Linked DNA regions of Coturnix japonica. The protein of the gene in region 1 interacts with the protein of each later gene in a biochemical or structural test. Links are inferred from orthologs where the notes say so. Each region holds a gene or a part of one and is shown on either strand. Other genes may lie near its edges.

The links.
Region 2: the proteins of HIF1A (region 1) and FHL2 form a complex in vitro, tested with the Homo sapiens proteins (2 studies listed by BioGRID). The link is inferred for Coturnix japonica from reciprocal best matches to the Homo sapiens genes HIF1A and FHL2.

The regions. Positions count from the first base shown.
Region 1 is NC_029520.1:49,074,605-49,078,252, forward strand, and holds part of HIF1A (hypoxia-inducible factor 1-alpha), read right to left. Parts: exon of another isoform or gene 2,944-3,648; coding exon 2,741-2,943; intron 1,585-2,740; exon of another isoform or gene 1,462-1,584; intron 1,456-1,461; coding exon 1,349-1,455; intron 1,163-1,348; coding exon 1,015-1,162; intron 760-1,014; exon of another isoform or gene 388-759; coding exon 167-387; intron 1-166.
Region 2 is NC_029516.1:121,912,956-121,917,079, forward strand, and holds the start of FHL2 (four and a half LIM domains protein 2), read right to left. Parts: upstream 2,913-4,124; 5' UTR 2,786-2,912; intron 161-2,785; exon of another isoform or gene 26-160; intron 1-25. UniProt on the Homo sapiens protein: May function as a molecular transmitter linking various signaling pathways to transcriptional regulation. Negatively regulates the transcriptional repressor E4F1 and may function in cell growth.

The DNA of each region.
Region 1 (3,648 bases):
TCAACCTAAGTAACAAATACTGAGCGTGTCTACGGACCTCATTAAATTTTAAACAGTGGCTGAGAGATCACTAGGCAAGTGAAAGTGGGAAGTTATTTTCCAAAGTTTACTGCAAAATACCAAACTTTACTAATTAGCATGCTCTCCAATTTAAACACACACCCACCATTGCTGCTGAAATCTAGGGAGATAATCGTGTCTCCAGCAGCTGGAGCCAGCACAGTTAAAGCATCTGGTTCCTGCTTAAGTTTTTCAAAAAGGCTGTTGGTATCATCCAGGTCATCTTTGCTGAATATTTTGGTCATTTTCATTTCAGGAGACTCCACTGGTTTCAGCATACACTCCGTTTGTCCAAGGGAAAATATCAAGTCCTTCTGAACAATTCCACTGCCAGACAGAAAGGAAGATGATTAAAAACCAGCTAGAATTCAGCCCTCACGATTTTCTAAGTTGCCATGAAAGCATCAAGAAAGTAAGAAAAAGAAGTAAAACAAACTTCGGGGCTTTCCTTAAAAGTCTTCTACTTTTTTTAAATGAAGGTACTATATCTTGATGGATTGATACTGGTACGTTCACTAAAGCTGTGAAAAACTAACTTAGGACTATTCCACTGTCGCAGAAAAATACTTCAAGTCTGCCTTAAGTTTAAGGTTTCAGTAGAAAGAATTCAAAGGAAGAAAAAGATAAATGGATACCTCTGACTCCATCACTAGGAATTACCAGTGAGTATAACTGTTCTAGACTGTGGACAAAAATTAGGTAAGTGCCTACAATGCCCAAATTCTGTTTGCCTGCAGAGATCTCCCCACTGATATCTCTACAAAGTGATTGTCTTTTTTAATCCTAATCCTACGACTAGCAGCATTCTAAGTAAAAAGCTAATCAGTAGGAAAATCAGATAGCACTGCAGCATATTGAATAGGGACCGGATTCTTAGCAAGTCAAAGATGAATCTGACTCAGTCTTCCAAAAAAAATAAGTCATGACAAAAATAGCAATTCCTACTTAACTTACCTCAACACATAATTTACACATACTATGCACTGTGGCTGAGAGTTCTTAGTGTTGTATATAACAGTTGCTTGAGTTTCAACCCAGACGTAGCCACCTTGTTTAGCAAGCATTCTGTATTGTCCCGTTGTCACCTGCCCTTTCGTGAACACTAAAACCAGAATAGACATCAGCTTTAATTACAGGCAGAAAAAAATATATCCCTTTTCAAGCTAGGTATTCTCTGCAGATTCATATCTGCAATTAAAAGGAAAACCCTTGTTATTCTGTGGCTTTCCCTTGGCTCTCTATCTCACTTCTTGTACTTGAGAGCATTAAATACATCTTTTTCACTTACTGTCGTGGTGTGTTTTGGTCAGATGATCAGAATCCAGCGCATGATAGTACTCATAGATTGAACGACCCAGCAGTTCCTCTGGCTCATATCCCATCAACTCTGTAATTCTTTAGAACAAGAGAAAATTTGCTGAGCAGACACTGAGCAACAGAAATACAAGAGCATATGGATGCCTGTAGATCCACAGAGAACTTAAGAATCTCTTCCACGAACATTACCAGCAATGATGGTTTAGTGTGAGTATGCTTTTTTTTTTCCTAATGCTCCTTTAATAAGATACAAGACATTTCAGCAGCCATAGGATTTTACTTCTCATTGAATATTTATAAAGCATGTCCTGTGATGGACAGGATTAAGTAAATCCCTGCTTTTTAGACGTTATTGCTTCAAAGTAGACAAGCTACTTACAGACTAGAATATCCAGCTTACACAAATGAGAATATAATAAAATAAAGACATGCTTTAACAGTTTTAACCATGCAACTAAAACAAATTATTAATGAGATTTATTCTCTTCACTGTTGGCTTTCAAAGTATTTTCTACAGCCCCTAGAGGGCAGCGCTAACTAGGAAAAAGCACCAGGCCCTGCTTTATGCACAACATCACCAAATTCACATGTTTTACATACCACCAGCAGCCTAAGAAAGGTAAAGCTACTGCACGGGGCAGAAAGTGACCTATACTAACGTACTTTTGTATCTAACTGCAGTAACTGATTAGAAATTCGTTTTTACATTAAAGAAAAAAAGGAAGGTCTTAGCAGTAATAAATAGAACCCATAAAAAAAAAAAGGCCAGTGATTTCCTTCCTGTCTGTTTTTTCAGATTTATCAAGCATGAGCTTCCAAAGAGTAGTAAGATGAGTATGTATTAGACTACATCACTGACATACCATAATACAAAATCTTGTTTTCTACTACAGATGTGTTGCATTAAAAGTAGAACAAAGCTTTACTTTTTTTCCTGACTGGAAAAAGCAGATGCTGATCTGACAAAAAAAAAAAAAAGCAGCACAACATGCCTGACAGATATTATGTATGTACTCTTTTTGGTCTATAAACTGCACCACCATCTCCAGCAATCCCTTCCATTTTCTCAGCATCCAGAAAAATCTTCTCATTTCAATGTAATCATTACCACAACACTGTTCAAACTGGCCTTTAACTGAGGAATTACTCACTATTACCCTACACCTTCCTTACACTTAAGAGTTTGGTTTTTAATACGACATCCTGATCAGTCAGTACAAAAGCCAAAGCATCTCACTGACAACTCCATTTTTGCAGATAATTGAGCCTGTAAAAGCATGAGGCCCACATCAGCCAACACACACAACCCCTGCAAATCATTCCTTCACATGAATGCAGATTTTAAGAGCTGAATATATTTTACCTTTCATCACAATAGGAAAATTTCATATCAAGACTGTGACGACTGAGGAACGTCTTACTGTCCAAGGGGACCTCAATGTTCGATGGGTGAGGAATTGGTTCACATATCAACACCAAGCACGTCATGGGAGGCTTCTTGTAGCCACAGTGAGTTTGATTATTGCATGTGTCATATACACGTATGTGTCCAGTGCAGTGCAGTACCTGTGGGACAGTTAGACTTAAGAAGAGACCAGACTGCTTTCTGTCAGCCAACACAGATGCACTTCCATTGATGCACACAGAGTTAAGTGCTTCCCTCCCCACCTCTCTAGGCTCAGCGTTATCAACAGCAGGAACACAAGAGTGCATTTAAACTGATTGTTAAAATACAGACAGTTCTCGTCATCTTACATAGGCTGTTAGTACACTCTGCCAGCTCCTTCCTCTCATGTCTGCAGAAGCAATGCCAGAAGTTTCTGCATTCCTGTCAATGTCTTTGACAGCTAAACTCATTACACTGGTAAGCAATTGGCATCCTACTATGTCAACCTGAGAGTTACGCTAATAGTATCAGCCTCCCTTTTAGATCTGCAGAAGTGATGTTAGAAGACAAAATCAAGTGCATTCTTCAAACGATGAGAAGGTTTGCATTTTCTCATTTTCCCCTTTTAAAAACAGAAATCTGAACTAGAAATAGTTCACGTACAGCAAAGAAGTTGTTCTTTGATCAACAGTAACTAAGCTTAAGTTAAAAAGGATATTTTTAACTGTAATGCCACTTTATACAGTAAAAGGCTGCCTAAAGGAAGACATGAAAATGCATCCATCTCAGACACTTATCAGACAGGGCTCTTTTAGTCCCAGCTATTACAAAAGGGATAGCCAGCAACTTCAGAAAGAACAACACAGGAGTCTTTCAGAGGAACC
Region 2 (4,124 bases), on another chromosome or scaffold:
CACTCCCAAGCCTGTATTTACATACCCTTTCTTCTCTATCTTTCTTCCTTGTAAAAATGCCCTTTTATATTTTCTGTATTAAGGAAGGGTTTGAATGAGTCTTCCCACTCCCAGCCTCCTGCCAGCTGCAATCAAAAGTCTGCATTGTTCTGATGGTTTGCTGTTTGGAAAGGAATAAGTAAAGATATTCACCCATTAATCATATATTAAAATGCTAGGTAAGAACAAAGTATTATTGTTGGAAAGACTGCCTTCAGCATGGGTTCGCTTTGGGAACAAGCTTTTGGCCTTTTTGTTTTATTTCACTTTTAAATTCAAATCTGGTGAAAAATCTGCACTCGTATGCATGTTCCTGCATTTTTTCAAGCTAAATATCTTGGGCTAGTGTTTAGAAAAAAACAACAAGCAACACTGATGTTTTGCTGCACATGATTGGAATGCTACTTTTGCTTTTCTTGTTTTGTTCTGTTTTGTTTTGTTTTTAAGGGGGAACACTGTCTGTGTAGCAACAACGATAATTTAACACTAAGAATCCAACCAGAATAGTTGTTTTATTCCTATTGTTTTAGTCTTAGACCTGAATGATAGGCAAAGAATTTGAGGACATGAAAATGTTATTTTCACACACAACTTCTTCGGTGCTCAATTTACTACACTCTGCACATCAGTTGAACATAACTGCAGGATCCTGGGAAAAAAATGGCCAAGGGGAGCAGCAAATCTGGCTAGGGTAGCTCCCAACATGTGCTGGTGGCCCACGCAGAGCCAATGTTGCAATCGTTGGTAGGAAGTGCTACCTTTGGTCTGTAGCCAATTTACAAAACTCATTTCATCAGCACTAGGGACAAGTAGATCAGAGCCGTGTATGGAACTGAGCAGGACAGACCATAAGTGCAGTAGAACATAGGGATGTGCAGAAGTATCAGCTGTGGTGTTTGAAGAAGTTAAGCCTTCCAAAGCATTCTTGAGGGGATAGTAAGCCTTTAGATAAGATAGACATGTGCAGACTATTTGGTATTTATCACTTTTTTTCTTTTATTTCTGATGAAATTATGTTCTGTTCTTCACATAAAAGATGGAACAAGCTTGTTCTTAAGCTCACTGTCTCAACACAGTCTACACTAATGGTCATCACCCCCTGCCAGAGGAAGCCTGGAGAGCACATCCCAGACAAGACAAGCTAAATGAGGTCAAACACACTGTCAGTGATATCCTACTCAGTGGAAGATGGAAACATGGGAGCAGACTGATAAGCCACATCTATGTCATGAATCAGAGAAGACCTCAGGGTACTCCCAGGTACTGCAACTCAATGATCTCTCTAGCCAGCTGAGCAAACATCAGCTTGGGCTCTCCCATTTGGGAGTGAGTCCCATCTATGTGGCTATTTTGGTAATTGTATTTTTGATACAAGAAGCATGTAATGGCACGGATATTCAGATTCTGGATTCAGAGCATTGCAGAGGGTATTGCATGTACTGCTGTAATGGGGGCAGAGACAGCCCTGAGACTGGATTCAACTTCTTCATGCTGATGTGTTCAGTCAACATTTGATGTGAAAATCCACGTCCCAGCTAAAGTCAGCAGATCTCCAGCAGTTTGGGATCAGCTAACGGCCTATCCTTTTGCCTTTTAAATCTCCACTTAGGGATTGAGGTCAATTCCTAGAGCTTTGAAGTGAGGTGACAATTTACATGAGCCTTAGGTTTGGCTCAACTGGGGTTGATAGGGGCCTGAGGTCCTGTCAAAGCCTACTGAACAATGGCTGCTCAGTATTTTGGAAAAATAAGCCACCACAAAATAACTCCTTTCATTTCATTTCCTAACACAATAAACAAATTCTAGCTTAAAATGTGATAGTTTTAGTTCTTGGACTAAAAGTAAATATCACCTTTGTATCACTCTTCATGGTCGCTGGATGAAAGAGATTTTCCTTATAAGGATTTTTATATTAAAAATGTGTGCACAAATTCATCCAAACACATATATGCGTACGCACAAACAATCTTATTTTTCCCAAGAGGTCTTCTTTTATTGGCTTCATTTGAAAATTAATGCTCTCATGAGATGAGGTTAAAAGTAATTTAATGTAACAATGGCCTGATAATTGGCATTTGGCAGTTATTGCTAATGCTATTTTATAGTCTGGTTCTGAAGAATTTGTGCTTTCATACGCAGACATGTTTTAGTGCTTTTCTTTCTTTTCCCTCTTCACACAGCTGCTGTAACCCATATCAAGCAATTGTTTAAACAAGAAATCAACAAGCATCGCTTGTGATTTGGCTTTCTTTCCTTGCAGGCTGTTAGGAAATGGTCTCAAAGAGGGAAAAAAATAAAATGTTCCTTCTGCCCTCTATTTTTCCCCACTTTCATAAAGAAGAAAATGCTGATGGAGAGGAAAAAAGAACACTAATCACACACTTTCCGCCTGAAGTCATTCAGTTTTCTATTCAAACCAGGAAAGTGTCTATAGTTAGACATGGTTGTATTCCTTGAGAACATGGAAACGACAGCATATTATTAGTGCAGAAACTAAAGAACAGCTGCTATTTAGCACCTGGTTCCCAACAACAGGCTGGAAATACAAAGTCAGATGCTCTGTATGTGCCCTGGCAACAAGGAACGAACAAACAACCGAAAATCCCCTTTTCTGGTAAGAAAGAAGCCCTCCCCTTGTGATATCTGCCCAAAGCCTTAAGAAACTTCCAGCCCCTGTTACAGAGGGAAGGTGAAAAGAAGAAAAGGGGCCAAAGGATGGTATAATCCAGACTGGTCACTGTCTTACCTTGCTGCAGCTCGGTGGTGCCTCTGTTTGTGAGAGCGCGAAGGATGGGAGCAAACACAGGGACTCGTGGCTTCATTGGATTACCCACACTATGTATTTAGTAATTAGACAGACATTTGTACTTCAGATGAGCTATAAATATAATATCTCCAGAGCCCCAGGCACCCAGAGGAGATAAGGACTGCAGTACCTCTGTGCCACCGGCCTTTTAAGGCATCACAGATATAGCAACACAAGGCCCCCAATGGAAAGGGCTGCTGTCCTCCTGACCTGCTCCATTTCAGAGTGCTGGATCTCAAAATACACTCACCTACTTTCAGGAGTTCCTGCGAGTGTTCCTCAGAACGCCAGAACTATTATATGATTTGATATTTTCACTGAGCTATAAGCAACTCTAACTTCTCCATCAGATTATTCCCCAAGGCTCTGGGATTAACAGAAATGCCAGCTGCTCTGTGGATGCGGTGAACTCCAACTCCCCTTCATCTGTTTGTCTGTCCATCCCAGGCATACAGCCTCACTGCAGGGTGGTCTGTCTGCCTCATTGTGCTCTATTTGATCCCAGGGGAAGACAGTGGCAGCACAAATCAGTGGTCACAAATCAGTGGGTATGGGCAGAGGCCTCAAAGCTCAGGAGCCTGCTTTCCCTGCTGGGCCCCTGCTCTCTGCAAGGGAGGTGTAGAGCAGAGGTGTAGGGGACACTCATACATATAAGGAGTGAGAGATTAGAGGTAAAAGAGAGGTCTTCCAGCAGATCCTGTGGGCACTGCCCTTCTGGCTGCAGAGATGAAACTGCCCAAACAAGGCTCAGTGCAGAATCAGGACTGCATCCTAGCTCTTTGCCCATAATGGATCCATCTCTATATTTTGATGTGTTTCTACAGAGCAAGATGCAGCACAGTTGTGGTCCTTGATCAGAATGTTGTACTATTTTAATTTGCTTTTTAGAAGAAGAAAAGGTAATCCTCTTCAACACACAGATGAAGAAAGAGCATTGGGCAACCTCTAGGTGCAGAAAAATGACTCTCCCTTACACGGCAACATATGTCTTAGAAGAAATACTACGCTTTTAAACTGAGATTATCTGTTGTTTCTTCTCCTGCCTGAAGCAGGATTATCTGCCATCAATCTCTCTGTTGGATTTATCTATTACTTCCACGGTCCCAAAGAATGCCCCGTTCTCTACATCCCCTTCTCCTCAAATTGTTGGTAGTTCAATAGTTTTTAGGAGGTCGTGTCACCTCCCAGTTCTTCTCTGAACACTTTGTTTGGTCAAGCTGTGGAGACTGGATACGGACACAAAATTTGTGCCAGGGTTTTTGACATGACAAATGGATTT